2 linked regions of the Tamandua tetradactyla genome follow. The protein of the gene in region 2 purifies or fractionates together with the protein of the main gene of each other region. This does not show direct contact. Links are inferred from orthologs where the notes say so. Each region holds a gene or a part of one and is shown on either strand. Other genes may lie near its edges.

What was found.
Region 1: the proteins of LLGL2 (region 2) and DCAF1 purify together in Homo sapiens (co-immunoprecipitation; 3 studies listed by BioGRID and IntAct, counting the BioPlex papers as one, with this or other methods). This does not show direct contact. The link is inferred for Tamandua tetradactyla from reciprocal best matches to the Homo sapiens genes LLGL2 and DCAF1.

The regions. Positions count from the first base shown.
Region 1 is NC_135341.1:34,577,384-34,585,321, forward strand, and holds the start of DCAF1 (DDB1- and CUL4-associated factor 1), read left to right. Parts: upstream 1-4,924; 5' UTR 4,925-5,031; intron 5,032-5,128; exon of another isoform or gene 5,129-5,179; intron 5,180-7,938. UniProt on the Homo sapiens protein: Acts both as a substrate recognition component of E3 ubiquitin-protein ligase complexes and as an atypical serine/threonine-protein kinase, playing key roles in various processes such as cell cycle, telomerase regulation and histone modification.
Region 2 is NC_135332.1:15,925,639-15,932,888, reverse strand, and holds the start of LLGL2 (LLGL scribble cell polarity complex component 2), read right to left. Parts: upstream 3,008-7,250; 5' UTR 2,796-3,007; intron 2,538-2,795; exon of another isoform or gene 2,414-2,537; intron 1,918-2,413; exon of another isoform or gene 1,601-1,917; intron 1,565-1,600; exon of another isoform or gene 1,349-1,564; intron 1-1,348. Other genes in the region: TSEN54 (tRNA-splicing endonuclease subunit Sen54), read right to left, coding at 3,949-4,099, 4,519-4,635, 4,999-5,059, 5,672-6,315, 6,541-6,642. UniProt on the Homo sapiens protein: Part of a complex with GPSM2/LGN, PRKCI/aPKC and PARD6B/Par-6, which may ensure the correct organization and orientation of bipolar spindles for normal cell division.

The DNA.
Region 1 (7,938 bases), on a different chromosome or scaffold from region 2:
GAACACAGCTCTACATTTTCAGGTAGTTTCCTCCAGCCTCTCCATTACATCTTGAATAACAAGGTGATATCTACTTACTGCGTAAGAATAACCTCCAGGATAACCTCTCAACTCTGTTTGGAATCTCTCAGCCATTGACACTTTGCTCATTTCACTCTTCCCCCTTTTGGTCGAGAAGGTTTTCTCAATCACTTGATGCTGAGTCTCAGCTCATTCTAGGATTCCTGTTCCACCTTGCCAGGAAGGCCCACACCCCTGGAAGTCATGTCCCACGTAGACAGGGGGAGGGTGGTGAGATTGTTGTTGTGTTGGCTGGAGAGAGAGGCCACATCTGAGCAACAAAAGAGGCTCTCTTGGGGGTGACTCTTAGGCCTAAATTTTAAGTAGACTTGACCTATCCTTTGTGGGGTTAAGTTTCATATGAACAACCCCCAAGACTGGGAGTTCAGCCTAGCTTTGGTTGTCCACACTGCTTGTGAGAATATCAAGAACTCAACCTGGGGAAGTTGAATTTCTCCCTGTTCTCACCATTCCCTGAAGGGGGCTTGTTGCAAATACTTTCCCATTCACTGATCGAATCACTCTGGGATTCATCGGGGCATCACTCTGGACAAACCAACAAAATCTCATGTCCTACCTGAGATTCCAAGTACTTATGATGTTCAATCAAACTATCTACATAAGTTATATTAAGAAATGCACTAGTCAAAATATAAATTTTGTACCAAATAAACATTTTTTGCTTAAGTCTCACACATAAGGTGACATTTTAAAATATTAATAACCATCTATTTTCAGCACCCTGCAGTAATGACATTCCTTTGTTCTCCCTCATACAAAAACATTTTCAAAATTTGTACATTTAGTCACTATTATTATACACTCTAGGCATTCCTAGATTATACCATCTTGATCTTTAACATCTATTTTTCTTTCTGATTTCATTTATGCCCCCAGCCCTCCTCCCTCTATCATTCTCAACTGCAGCTTCATTCAGTGTTTTAACATAATTGTATTACAGTTAGGTAGTATTGTGTTGTCCATTTCTGAGTTTTTGTATTCAGTCCTGTTGCAGTCTGTATCCCTTCAGCTCCAATTACCCAATATCTTACCCTATTTCTATCTCCTGATGGTCTCTGTTACCAACGAAATATTCCAAGTTTATTCACTAATGTCAGTTCATATCAGTGAGACCATGTCCTTTTGTTTTTGGCTAGTCTCACTCAGCATAATGTTCTCAAGGTTCATCCATGTTGTTACATACTTCGTAACCTTATTCTGTCTTAAAGCTGCATAATATTCCATTGTATGTATATACCACAGTTTGTTTAGCCACTCGTCTGTTGATGGACATTTTGGCTGTTTCCATCTCTTTGCAATTGTAAATAATGCTGCTATAAATATTGGTGTGCAAATGTCCGTTTGTGTCTTTGCCCTTATGTCCTTTAAGTAGATACCTAGCAATGGTATTGCCGAGTCATATGGCAATTCTATATTCAGCTTTTTGAGGAACCGCCAAACTGCCTTCCACAGCGGTTGCACCATTTGACATTCCCACCAACAGTGAATAAGTGTGCCTCTTTCTCCACATCCTCTCTAACACTTGTCATTTTCTGTTTTGTTGATAATGGCCATTCTGGTGAATGTGAATGATATCTCACTGTGGTTTTAATTTGCATTTCTCTCATGGCCAGGGAAGTTGAGCATCTCTTCATGTGCCTTTTGGCCATTTGTATTTCCTCTTCTGAGAAGTGTCTGTTCAAGTCTTTTTCCCATTTTGTAATTGGATTGGCTGTCTTTTTGTTGTTAAGTTGAACAATCTCTTTATAAATTCTGGACACTAGACCTTTATCTGATATGTCATTTCCAAACATTGTCTCCCATTGTGTAAGCTGTCTTTTTACTTTCTTGATGAAGTTCTTTGATGCGCAAAAGTGTTTAATTTTGAGGAGTTCCCATTTCTTTCTTTCTTTCTTCATTGCTCTTGCTTTGGGTATAAGGTAAAATTAAAAACTTTTGTGCCTCAAAGGACTTTATCATGAAAGTAAAATGACAACCTACACAATGGGAAAAAATATTTGGAAATCACCTTTCTAATAAAGGGTTAATATCCAGAATATATAAATAGATTTTACAACTCAACAAGAAAAAAAAAACCAATTAAAAAATGGACATAAGACCCAAATAGATATTTCTTTAAAGAAGATATACAAGTGGCCAAAAAGGACATGAAAATGTGCTCAATATCATTAGCCATCAGGGAAATGTAAATCAAAAGCATAATGAGAGGAAGGGTCACGGTGGCTCAGCAGGCAGAGTTCTCGCCTGCCAGGCCAGAGACCTGGGTTTGATTCCCGGTGCCTGCCCATGTAAAAAGAAAAAGCACAATGAGATACCACTTCACACTCACTAATGGCTACCATGAACAGAATAGAAAATTACAAGCATTAGAGAGAATGTAGAGAAATAGGAACACTCCCTCATCGCTGGTGTGAATGTAAAATGGTGCGGCTGCTTTGGAAGACAGTTTGGCAGTTCCTCAAAAAGTTAAGCATAGAATTACCATATGACCCAGAAATCCCACTTCCAGGTATGTACCCCAAAGAATTGAAAGCAGAGACTTAGAGATATTTGCACACCAATGTTCAAAGTGAAATTATTCATGATTGCCCAAAAATGGAAGCAACCTAAGAATCCATCAGCCAGTGGATAAACCAAGTGTGGTGTATACCCAAAACAGAGTATTATTTAGCCATAAAAAGGGATGAATTTCTGATACATGTGACAACAGTGATGAACCCTGAAGACATTATGTTGAGTGAAATAAGCCAGAAGGACAAATACTGTATGATCTCAATGAAATGAAAGAATTAAAATAAGCAAAATCAGAGTCAGTATCCACAATATAGGTCACCAGAGAACAGGGTTGAGGTAGGGACTAGGGGGTTAAGGTTCAAAACGTACAGAGTTTCTATTTAGGACAATGGAAAAGTTTTAGAAATGGATGGTGGTGATGGTACTATAAATGTTGTGAATGTAATTAACAGCATCAAATTATATATTTAAATGTGACTAAAAGGGGAAATTTTAGTTTGCATATATGTTACTAGAATAGAAATAAAAAAAATAAAATAAAAAAACAACACAAACAGTGAGCCCAAAGTTAAATAATGGACAATAGTTAATAGTACAATTTGAAAAATGTGTAAGACAAAAATATCTCATGGGGGAAAAGATAGATTCTGTGGTAAAATAATACTAATGAAACTTGAAAACCACAGATCCAGTAAAACTCCCCTCCTCATAGTGGGTGGATGGGGAAACTTGTCCAGGGTCAATCTCTAGTCTTCCGCCTTTTAGGCCAGGTCTGCCCTGACAATGCTTCTGCCGGCCCATAGAACAGGCAGCAGGAAGGTCTCTGTGGAGGCATAGCTTGAACCAGCCACTCAATATGACCAAGAGCCTCTAGCTGCAAACTGAGGTCTTTTTGGCCTGGGATCTCATGGGGAAAAGCCACTGTCAACAGAATAAACGATCCAAAGACCCCAGACCTGCAGACTTTGAGAGCAGTGGGACACACCTCAGATCAACTTCCAGAAGTCCTCAAGATCCCAGACTGTTCTTACCTTTAGAAAAATTTGGGGCCCTGGCCTGGGAAGTGTGGATCCTGGGTTCCAGCTACCTGACCACTTCATGGGACAGCAGCCTTCTCTTTAAGGGAGACAGCTAGGCATAGCCACTCACTCCCTAGACTGTGGTTCCCTTGAGGGCAGAGCTTGTGAATTCCTTGGTGTAGTGTCCTCGTGGGCACAGAGTCCAGTGGGCACAGGGTCAGGCACAGAGCAGGAATGCTAGAATCCTTAACTTGAAACACAATTTTCCTCATTTATTTTTTTCTTTCTTTCTTTTGTATGCTATATGGCAGGGTCATATTTCATTCTTTTTCCATGTGAGTATCCTATTATTGCAGCACCATTTTGTTGAATTTTTGTTTGTTTGTTTTTGTTGGTTTCCTAGCTTGTTTGGGAATTACATGGGATGGGAATCAAACCTGGGTCTCCTGGATGGCAGGCAAGAATTCTACCACTGAACTACCCTTGCACCCCCCCCCCCCCATTTATTTTTAAAATAAGGCTTCCAACAAGTGGCTCTTTCTATCCCTCCTCTACCCCCCTAAACTGTGATCATCCACAGTGGCAACCGACGTTCTACACTTGATGGTGTGAAGCTTTCTCCTCCCTCCTTTTTACCCCTAGATTGGCTCTGGGAGGAGGGAATCTCTACACTCTGGGAAGAGTGGGTGCTTGGCACTCCCAGTTTCTTCTTTTGACATTCTTCTCCCTTTGGGTGGCCCAGCCTCAAGGTCATCAAGTCTACTTGTCAATGCAGCAGAATTTGATAGCATGCGCTTGCCCTGGACACCAAGTGGAATATTCAGGTGGTTGATCATGGATAGATGACAGTAAGGGCATGATCTAGTCCTTGCCTCAGAGTCTTAATCCCTTTGCTGTGAAACACTTAGAACATCAGTGATGAGGACACTTATCTTTACTTAGTCAGGGTAGGGGTCCTATTCCCACTCTCCCACCCCCCCACCCCCCCCGCCAGATGACAAGGGACAGGCAAGACATCAAGAACCAAAGCTGTAGGCCCCATTTGTTCTCACCTCCTGGCAGTGACTGAGACCTGAGAAACTCTTCTCATCTCCAGGTCCCTGAAAGTTCCTCCTCTTCTTCCACTCCCTACAGCGTGGGGTTAGAGAGATCCAGTGAGCTCTTCCAGACCTTACATCCATCTCCAAAGTCCAAAGGCAGCTCCTGAACCCTTCCCTTGCCTACTGGTCCCTGGTTGTCCTGGTCCCTGGTCCTGTGGGGAGGGGGCTGGGTTGTGACTTCATAAAAGGCTGTCTTTGTGACAAGTCTGAGTCTGATGAAGTAGGAGCTTGACAAACGGCTGTCCCCTGGAAACATCATGGGAATTTCATAGAGAGACACCCCTACCTCTGAGGGAATGTAGAGGAATTGCCCCATGGTAAGACCCCAGGATATCTTTCCATACCTAGAGATATCTCTTCTTAATGACTTGGGATCCCAAGCCTAACTGGGTATTCTTGGTTATATCTGGCAACACCTCTCAGGGATCCTAGCATGTGGCAGTCAGGCTTGAGGAGGAGCAGAAGGTGGGTTACTCCAGGTGATGGTAGAGGGCCTTGGACTTCCTAATTGAGTCATTCCCATGTTTGTCCATTAGACAAAGCCATTCTTCTGTAGATACTTTAGAAGTAAAGTAACTGATAGAGTAGGAGGCTTTATCTGACCTGTGTCTCCACCAGGGTCTGCCCTAGCGATCTCTAGAGTACCTCTGAATGGGTCAGGCCACATCTCCCTGAATCTTCTACAAAGGACTCAACAGCTACAAAAATAGATATCGCCAAAAAAACAGGGGCTTCTGGTATGTTGGAGGCAAGGCCGAGATACCAGAATCTTTCCTAAGGCTGACTCCACCTTCATTTCCTCCCAAAAGGATTTATAATCTCTTGAACCTGGGGATTATAAATTACCCTGGGCAAAAGAAGGTAGGGGTACACTGGCATGAGGAAATTCAGGATACCTCTGACTGTTGCTTCCTCCTTAAGTGCCCTGCAACCACTCCTTAACTTCCAAGCCATTCCTGGTACGTGCCCTCTGCGAAGGGTAGGGCCTCAGGAAGAGCAGAAATGATAGGCTATCATCTTGGTAGTTAGGCTGGGGGATCCGACCTGCCCTGGGAGTATCTGGAGCCCAGAGTTTGGCCCTCTTCCTGCGTCAGCCCCTGCTTTGTGCTGGGCAGGCCCATTGGAAGGACCTGGTATATCATCTTCACCACCCACTCCAGCTTCCTGCTTTGGCCTCTATTTTGACTGTAATATCACCATCTTACCAGAGATCCCAAGAGAAGTAGGGGAGTGCACTCTGGGCAAAGGTTCCAGATGCAGACTTCATCCCAGCAGAGGGGCATAAGTGATGAGCTGGTGGGGGATGGTGACATGTCTGACTTCACATCCAAGGGATTTTTTCACCTTGACTGCCCTTTACCCTCAATCAACTGTAGTCCTTGCAGGCATGAGGAAGCCAGAAGTAGAGCTTCCAACCTTTACCCTTTGATGAACTCATTTTCATTTCTCTCCTGGAATGGAGAGTGGCCAGGTGACCCTCAAGAATGGATATTCCACTACTTTCCAGTGCTCCTAAAAAGGTGCCTTGGGATTATTTCTTATAAGGAACATGTTCCTCATTTTAATATAGAGAGCCTGAGTTCTTCCAACAGGCAACCTTGAGGGCAAAGAGAAATCAGCCAGGGCTAAGGTTGACCTGGGGAACTCCAACTGGGACAGGTACAGACTGATGATAATCAAAATCAGAATAGCCATTACTTATCCAGCACTTACTGTGCACCAGGCCCCACGCTTAGCACTTTACATGCATTATCATATTTAACCCTTACAATATCATTGGAAAGAAGGTATTATTTCCATTTTCCAGCCAGGGAAACTGAAGTGCAAGTGAGATGAAGCAACTGAGCTGAGGTTCCACAACTGATAAATGGGGGTGACAGAATTGGGACTCAAATTTGTTTGCCTCCAAAGCTGTACTCAACTGCTGAACTTTCTCCTAGTACAAACCCTCCTCACTAAAGAAGAAAAGAAACTACTCTATTTTCTCATTCCTGACCATTAATGATAGGGTTAAAGAGAGAAGGGTGAAAGGAAGGAATTTGAGTCTGCTATCTCCCAGATCATTGGCTTTAGGATAAGCCATCCTTGGATCCTTGGACCTGTCTAATCTTGAATGAGATCCACCAGAGGTGGCTGTTCTGATATGCTTCTTACAATTTTGCAGATAATTAAAGTAAGGCCCTGGGGGCCATGGGAGGGAAATACTTGGGGGTCTGTGGTTGTGCAATGGCTCTGGGGTATGGTTGCTAGATAAAATACAGGATGTCCAGTTTGTTGGATTTTAGGTAAACAATAATTTAAAAAACACAAATATGTCATAAATATTGTATGGTGTCCTCTGGGGGCTCCTTGCTCTGGCTGGGGCCCATATGTTGGATCTGGGGAGGGAAGAGGAGTTGCTTATTCATTTCCCACTTGAGTCTCAGGTACCTCTATGAAGTAGTACCTGTGGGGGCAGGATGTGAGGACTGACTCCTGGAGACTGCAGCTGCTATGGCCACTGGACAGGGTGGGAGCTTAAATTTTTGCCTTAGTGAAGCCTCAGTTTCTCTCTCTGTAAAATGAGAGTGGTGGATGTGGGATTCAGATGAAAGGTTGCTTTGCATTTCTCTTGGAGAATGTGGTAGGGACAGGACACCAGCTGAAGGACAGGGATTTCTCTGGCCAGGCTGAGGTTCCCAGAGGCTGACAACCCCGAGCCTCTTCTTAGTGACTCCTGTAATATTCCTAGGTAACCCAGCAGTCTTGTCCAGCTAACAGGAGAACAGGAATGGTTGTGAGATAGCCTGCCTCACCTCCCAGTCCCAGATAATTGTGGGAGGAATCACATGGTTATGGGGGCAGTACCAGGGTGGGGATGGGCTGGTGGGAGTACCTAATCGGTTGAGCTAGAAAGTATTGGGAGAGAAGGGGTGGGTGATGGGGGGGGGGGGGTGATGGAGGAAATATTCAGGGCCCAGAGGATTTGGCAATTTTCCTGCTCCAAGGAGTTTGCATGATTAGGGGCAGGGGCAGCGGGAGGGTGTCTGAGTCTGTGGCCCTTGGTGCTTGGGACCAGGGCTGGGCCACTCTTGTACTTTCTCTGTTGCTCAGCAGATCCTTGACCTTTCAGCTTCTTTCTCAGGTTGGGGTGGGAGGTGGAATGTGGTAATGGGGTAATGGGGAGGCAGGGCAGGGCAGAGTCTAGAGTAGTTCTATCAAAGAGACCAAGGAGTCTCTTTCCT
Region 2 (7,250 bases):
GGAGGTTGAAAGCAGGCACGATGGCATTCCTAGAAAATCCTGATGGTGACAAGGAAAGCACAGGAATCTGCAATCCCATGCCCCCAAAGGGTGAACAGAGTGCGCACAGCCAAATTCCTCTTGGCCTGAGCAGGCTCGGCACCAGGCCCCCACCCCCCACCCCAGCCCAGGGAAGGCCCGCAGCTGGGCTCACCCCTGGCTTTCCCCAGGAGCAGGTGAAAGGCCAAGGGCGCTGGAAATCACGCGAGGCTAGGAGAGGCCACTCCCACCTCCCTCAACCTCCTCTCCCCAGCTTCTGAGGAGCACCTTCCTGATGAAAAAAGTTCTGACCTTCAGAGGCTTTAAAAGATCTCAAAATTGTGACCTCTGCTGACTCCTCAGAGAGGGAAGCCAAATTCCCTCTCACTCATCAGGCACCTCCAAAAGGCCTGCAGGGTGACTGGCCCTTTGCATGCTTCATGGGGAAGCTGAGACGCTCATCCTTACCGGGTGCCTGCTATGCGCCAGGCCACGCAAATTCATGACACTTTGCGTCCTCTGCCAACATCTGAGAAAACAGGGTTCACGGAGGCTCAGCCCAGTTAAATGACTGAGCCAAGGTCATTCAGTAAGAAAATGGCAAGGCCACCATTCAAAATTATACCTGATGTCTTTCTGGAAAGATTTGTTTAAAACTTAATATTTTGTTAGAGGGAAAAGACTGGGAGGCAAGAGGGAGAACACTTTCCCTCTTTCATTTCATGCTTTCCTATAATGTTTGGTTTTCTCTACCATGTGCCTCAACTACTTTTTGTTTTTATAATCTGGGATTATGGGTCGGTTTTTCCTCAAAAATTTTACTAAGTTTTGGGGATGATGAAAATATTCTGGAATTAGAGGTGGTGGTTACACAACATTACGAATGTATTAAAAGGCCACTTTAAAGAGATCAGAATGGTAATTTTTATGTTACGTGTATTTTACCACAATTTTTACAAGTTACTAAGTATTATTTTCAAAAACACAACTATTACTCGCAGCTAGTGGGGGGGGGCGTGGGAGGCGGGGCAGGTAACTTTCTGCTATACTCTGCTGCCTCCAACAACAGAGAGGGCCCAGAGTGCCCACAAGCTCTGCAACAGCTGTCCAGTGCCACCGCCCCCCCAAAAAAAACTGGCCCAGTCTAACTTTGCTGAAGAGGTGAGAGTCCTGGACAGAGCCCCCAAAACTGGGTTTGAGTCCTGGCTGCCACCAGGTGCAGACAGCTTAGGCTAACCAAACCTGCATGCCCCTTCCATTCAGTCCATCTCTCCAGAGTCCCTTCTCACAACGCAGCTCACAGACCCAAACTGTCTTCTTCAAAACTCACCTGTGACCTCCGCTTCCCCTCCGCGGGGTCACAGCTCTGTTGCCGGGCCTCTCGGTTCTTCCTACCCGGCTTCCATGTGGTCCTGACACGCCCACTGCCTCCCGGCCCACTTCCCCTCTGCAGTGATAGCACCCTGAGTTGCCAGCTCCCGCAGGGGGTCCAGGAGCCCAGATGAAGAAGCCGTGCAGCGGCACAGGCCTCCCGAGGAGAAAGGGCGCTGAGTCCAAGTCCAGACGCGCACTCCAAGCTCACCTGTCTCAGGTGAGAGCCGCAGGGGGCCGCGCCGCGGCTCCCCGGGTTACCATCAGCTCAGCCACAGCCAAGGCCCTGGCTATCCCCGAGCGGCGCAGCCGGATTAAAGCAGGAGCAAACTTTGCACACTTTCGTTGGTCAGACAAAACTTTCCACTCCTTGCCAAGTCGGAACGTCCCGCAGCGCAACCCCCAACTGCGTTCCGTCGAGGAAAACAAACTGGGGCTCCGTACAGGCGCCTAAGGGTGCCCCAGGGCGGAGATAGGCCCCAAGACCCAAGTCCCTCCCGCGGGCTTCCTGAGTCCGGGGATTAGGAGGCACAAAGGGCCGGGAGGGAGGGGCCCCAGATGGCAGGGGCTAAGCCGCTCATGTAACGCGCTCCGGCCGCCGCGCGGGGACAGGCCACCGGAGACGCGTCGTCGGCCTCCCCCGGCCAGACGCTGGGCACGTGAGGCGCGAGGCCCGGGGCCCCGTCTCCCCCGCGGTGCGCCCCGCACCCAGCAGGGCCGGGCACCTGCTTCCCGGCTCCCAAAGGCACACGCTATTGTGCAAACCCGAAACCCAAGTTCCGTAATCGCAGTCGGGTCAGACAGGAAGGTTCGCAGCGGCACTGTCTACAGGTGACTTTCTCCCAGGCGACCAAAGAGGCCGGGACAGGGACAAGAGCAAAGCGGCTGGACCCGGGCGCAGCCCTGCCCGCCCGGCCCGGGGAAGCCCAGGGGTCTCGGGACCACCCCCCACCCGCCGGCGTCCCGAGGGCAGGGCGCCCCAAGGGGGCGGGCCCCGCTCGGTGGGTCCCGGCTAGCTCATCACCTGGAAGCCCGGGCAGGCCCCGCCCGAGGCCTCGCCGTCCCTGGGCGCCTGCCACCCGCTCCGCTCGCTCCGCTGCGCGGGCCCACAGGCTGCCGGGCGCCCTTCTCCTTCCTGCTCACCTCAGGCGCCGCGAGCCCGGGGCGGAGCCGCCGCTATTTACATAAAGGCCGGGCCAGCCGGGCCCCGCCGAACCCCGAGTGCCCGCCCCCCGCGGCCCGGCCCCGCCCCCCACGGCCCGGCGCCGACGGGGCGGGAGCGCGGCGAGGCCGCCCTCAGGGACCGGGGGCAACGCTCCGGCCAATCCGCAGGCTCTGAGAGAGCGGGGCGGGGCCGCGACCCGCGTGAATATGCACGAGGCACTAGGGCCCGCCCCTCGCCTCACCTGCGTCTACCTGGGCCGCAGGATGCCGCGCCGCGCCCAGTGTCCCTCCGCCTCCCGCAGGAGGAAATAGTCCCCGGCCGCGCAGCCGCCCCCAGAAGACGGCTCGTTCTCCCACTACCCGGCCCCGAGCTGCCGAAGCTGGGGCCGAGGCTCACGGGCTCCGCCCAGAGGGCGAGCGGCGGACGCGGGACCAGGTTTTGGAACCCAGGAGAGGGGGATATGGGGATCGGGACGTCGCCGCGAGGCGCCTCCCCTCGGGGCGGGCTCCAAGCGCACGGCGGCCTTCCCGGGACGCCCCGCCTTCGAGCCTGCTGCCGAAGTGGGCAGGGGCCGGTCCCCGGGAGCAGCGGCGGGAGGCTCAGCACATGCGAGGGGGCCGGAGTGGCGAGAGCGCAGGGGACGCGGCAGCCCGGCCCGAGGCCCCTTCGGGCGAGAGGGGTTCGAGCCGCACGGACGCGGCGCCTCTCCGCCACCCTTCTGCCCCGACCTTCTACCCCAGCTACTCAGGAAAGGTCTGCTGGGGCCTGGCGTGTCTCTTTGGACTCTGTCAGAAACCCAAGCAGACAGGAGGTTTGGGCTCCCCTCCCCTCTGGCGCTGGCCTCCAGCAAGGTGCAGGGGCGCGTTCTTGACCATCCGCAGGGCTCAGGTCCCTCAACAGAGAAAGCAACTCTCTGAGTAGGGTGGGGGGTGGGGGAAACAGCCGAGAAGGGTCAGGAAGCCAGTGCCTTGACCCAGCGCCTTCAGACTGGGGGGAGGGGCGGGGCGGGCGGCGGAAATCCAACTTGCCCTTAACAGGGAGGGGGGCAGGAATCTATTTTATAATGGCTTTGGCTTTTATTGCAAGAAACAGGCACCCCGTCGTTTAAAGGCACAGCCTCAGCTCTTCCGCCCCACCTTGCTGGTCTCTGAAATCTAGTCCTGAGTTCCAGTGGGGTCACTGCAAGACAGCCCTGATCTCAGGTCTGGGGCTTGGAAGCACTGCAGTGGCCAGGGAGTGGGCACAGCTTCAGTCTCCTGCCAGCATCAGATACCCAGGGTCAAGGTTCAGATTGGCCCCTGCAGCCCCAGGTCAGAGCCAGAGTGCAGGAGGCAGCTGAGATAGTCCCTGAGAGCAGATCGAGTCCAGGTCCCCACTGAGGAGGAGCTTTGGGGTCACTGCCCCAGATCTCTGGGCAGTGTGAAGTCCCTGAAGCTGTAGAAGGAGATGTCTCCGTGATCTACCAGGGCGAAGATCAGGGGGACATCCCCACTCTGGTAGGATAACCGCTTGAGGGTGCAGAGGTCTGGGACCGGCTCCTCAAATCTGCAGGGATGAAACTTAGACTGAGACCCTAGCCCCTCTGAGGTTCCTAGGGAAGGGAGATTGTAAGATAAGAGTTGGGGGTCTAAGAACGCTGACCCCTGGGTTCTCCTCTGCAAATTACTGAGCTTTGAAAAGTTCTCTAAGAAAGGACCAGGGGCTGGTTGAAAGGAGGCTAGGAAGAGTGAGCTGTCTGTAAATTCTCCTGATTCTTGTCCCTTCTGTTGTGGAGCCCTGGACTAACATGGTACAGGAGAGAGACCACTCAGAATCCCAGGAATGAGAACTAACAACTGGAAAACTTAGGTTCCAGTAGCATTAACTGGCTGTGTGCTGTCACGTAGGTCACTAGACCTCTCTGGACCTCAGGTTCCTCTGGGATTGGCAAATTAGCCGGGCAGCTGGGGGCAGCGGTCTCATACCCACTGATGCACATCCGGGCGTAGGGCTGGCCAGGGTTATTCTTCCGGAAAGTGGCCACAGCGTCGGCCTGGTAAACATCGAAGCTTATCTCTAAGCCCCCAGACTTCTTGAGCAGCCTGGAGACAGAGTGAGAAACCTCAGGAAAGAGAACTCTCCTCCCCCACTTGTCCTTTACCCCACCAGCTCTAGGAGGCACCTAGGGAAACAGAGCTGGCTGTGAGGTACAAATTGTGAGAGGGTTAGATAGGGAGTGGTCTAGGCTGCTCCATCTCAGAACCTCTGGGATAAACCCATCTCTTGTCTATCACCCCTCCATCTCCCCTAGACACACACAGACATTGGCCACTGCTCAGGGATAGGCATGTGTGGTCCCCTGGAATGAGCCCCTAGCTGGCACCCAATTTCAGGAGTCAAATCCCAGCCACCAACTCCTGCAGGCAGCTCAAGTGCTGTGAAGACAGGTGCTGGTGGAAACTCACCGGTCCCCTCCGTCAGCAAGGCATGCAGTCTGTAGCACAGAGACATGTTGGAGGGCAGTGGCTACAAGGACAGTGAGAAAAGGGTGTTGGGGGATAGAGGGTCAGCCATTTGCAAAGTCCCTTAACCTTTCTGATCCACCATCTAGTTTAGGACAGTCAGATTTAGCAAATAAAAGTACAGGATAGGTGTATTTTATCTGGCAACCCTAATTTACTTATCTGTCAGGTCCCCATAAAGGGTTTAAGGAGTTTGGGGTTCATTAATACATTTAGCCTGGACCGTTCTTGCCCTCTGAGTTCCCTAAGCTCACAGCAAGAGCAGAAAGGCTGCTTTTCATCTGGCCGAGATGGGACCCTCCTCCTTCCAACCTAATGGGACAGTTGCTAGTTGATGGCAAGGCCATCCACGTCATGTTATGATTTTAAGGGCTTGGTCTTACCCCCTCCTCCCTTCTGGGTCACTGACTTTTCATCTCTAAACCTTTTCATGTGGGCCCTTCTGCTGCTGCCCCACAGTACTGGCAGTCCTTGTGGGTTTCACTCCACCAGACAGCACTCCCTGTGCTGGACCAGAAAATCCTGGTCAATCCAAGCACCTCTGCCAAGTCTTGTGGCTCCTCAGTTGCCAGGGGCTAGCCAGGGGGCTGAGGGAGCTGTGGCAGGTGAGGGGTACCTGGGGAGTCGGCCTGGCCAGGGCTCAGCAAGGGGGTGACGGGCTGGTCCCACAGGTGTGGGGGGTGGCTCTGGGCCCTCTGCAAGTGCCGCCTCTGCAGCAGCTCCTTGTACTCCCGCCAGCTGGAACAGCGCTGCACCTCAGGGTCCGTGTTTACATCCTCCCGGAAGTGCTGGGCCTCTGCCTGCAGCTCCTGTTCCCGCCGGGATAGCTTCTCCTTTCGCTGGTTCAGCTTCTGGCACCAGGATGCAGCATCTGTCTCCCGTCCAGCAACATTGGACGGGAGCAGCTCTGGGGCTGGGGCAAGCAGGAGAGTGTGGCGGCTATCTGAGGCCATGTTGGGGAAGGAGATCTGCTCAAAGTTCCAGCGTGGCTTACAAGGCCCCTTGACCCCATTCTCTACTTTGCCACTTTCCTGGCTGTTCCCTACCCCATCCCTGGTCAGGCCAGGCAAGGGTCCCAAGGACTCCAGAAGCTGACAGGGGCCCTCTGGGCCCTTTCCAAGGCTTGACTCTTGGGGGATCTCCTCTAGGCATTGGCTGTTCTGTTTTCGGGGATGTGAACTTGAGGTTGCCAGGCTCTCAGGTGTCCCATCCATTCCCTGCATGGGGGTCTCTGGGGACTTGGGCTTCTTAGGAGTGGACCTGAGGATGTAGAATGAAGAAAGACAACACATGGATTCCTGGCTGCTGTAGCATATATATCCTGCTGCACTGAGGACGGGTGCCACTTCTCCCAGAGCCTAGGTAGCAACCACACTAGCCCAGCTCCTAAGCTCATGCATTCTCCAAGGTTCCAGATGCCAGCACGCCCCACTGCCTCTGCACCCGCAGAGCTCCCTAGAGCATGTCTATGGCAGGGAGCTTTACCAAGAACTGGAGTTCCTCCTCTTCCTCTTGCCCCCCTGATCCATCAGGTGCTGGGCACAGCCATCCAAGTTGAGCTGCCTCTCGTAAGGGGACAGGACGGAGCTGTGGGGTGAGAGTGGGGCGGGCTGAGAGCCATCATCTCAGCTAGGTGCTCCCCGTAGAATCTGTGAACACAGCTCCTTCTCCATTATTGCATTCTTCTCTGGCACAATTTTTTATGTTTCTAAATATGCTCTCCAATAAAGGTAGCCTGCTAGCCATGAGTGCCTATTTAAGTCAATTAAAGTAAAACTAAAAATCCCATCCCATAGTTGCAAAAATCACATATATTGGCCATCACCGAAAGTTTTGTTACTCAGAGCTGCTCTAAGGGATAAACTCTACATTATGTATCCACTATTGGATTCCTAGGTTGTTTCCAAGTTCACTGATTTTGCAAAATGATGCTGTTCTGTGTAAGCTTTCCACTAAATGCAAGCTACATGGGAGCAGAGGATTGTGCTCTCTGCCATGTCCTCAGCTCCTGGCATAGGATCTAAGCATACAGTACGTGTTCAATAAATATTTGTTGAATGAATGAATGACTGAACATTCTGCACACATCCTATTTTCCTAGGATGTATTCTGCTCTCAGGAATTAAAGGATGTGCCTGTTTCAGAGCTTTTACAACCCAGTGTGAACTTGCAAAGGCTGTACTAGTTTCCACTCC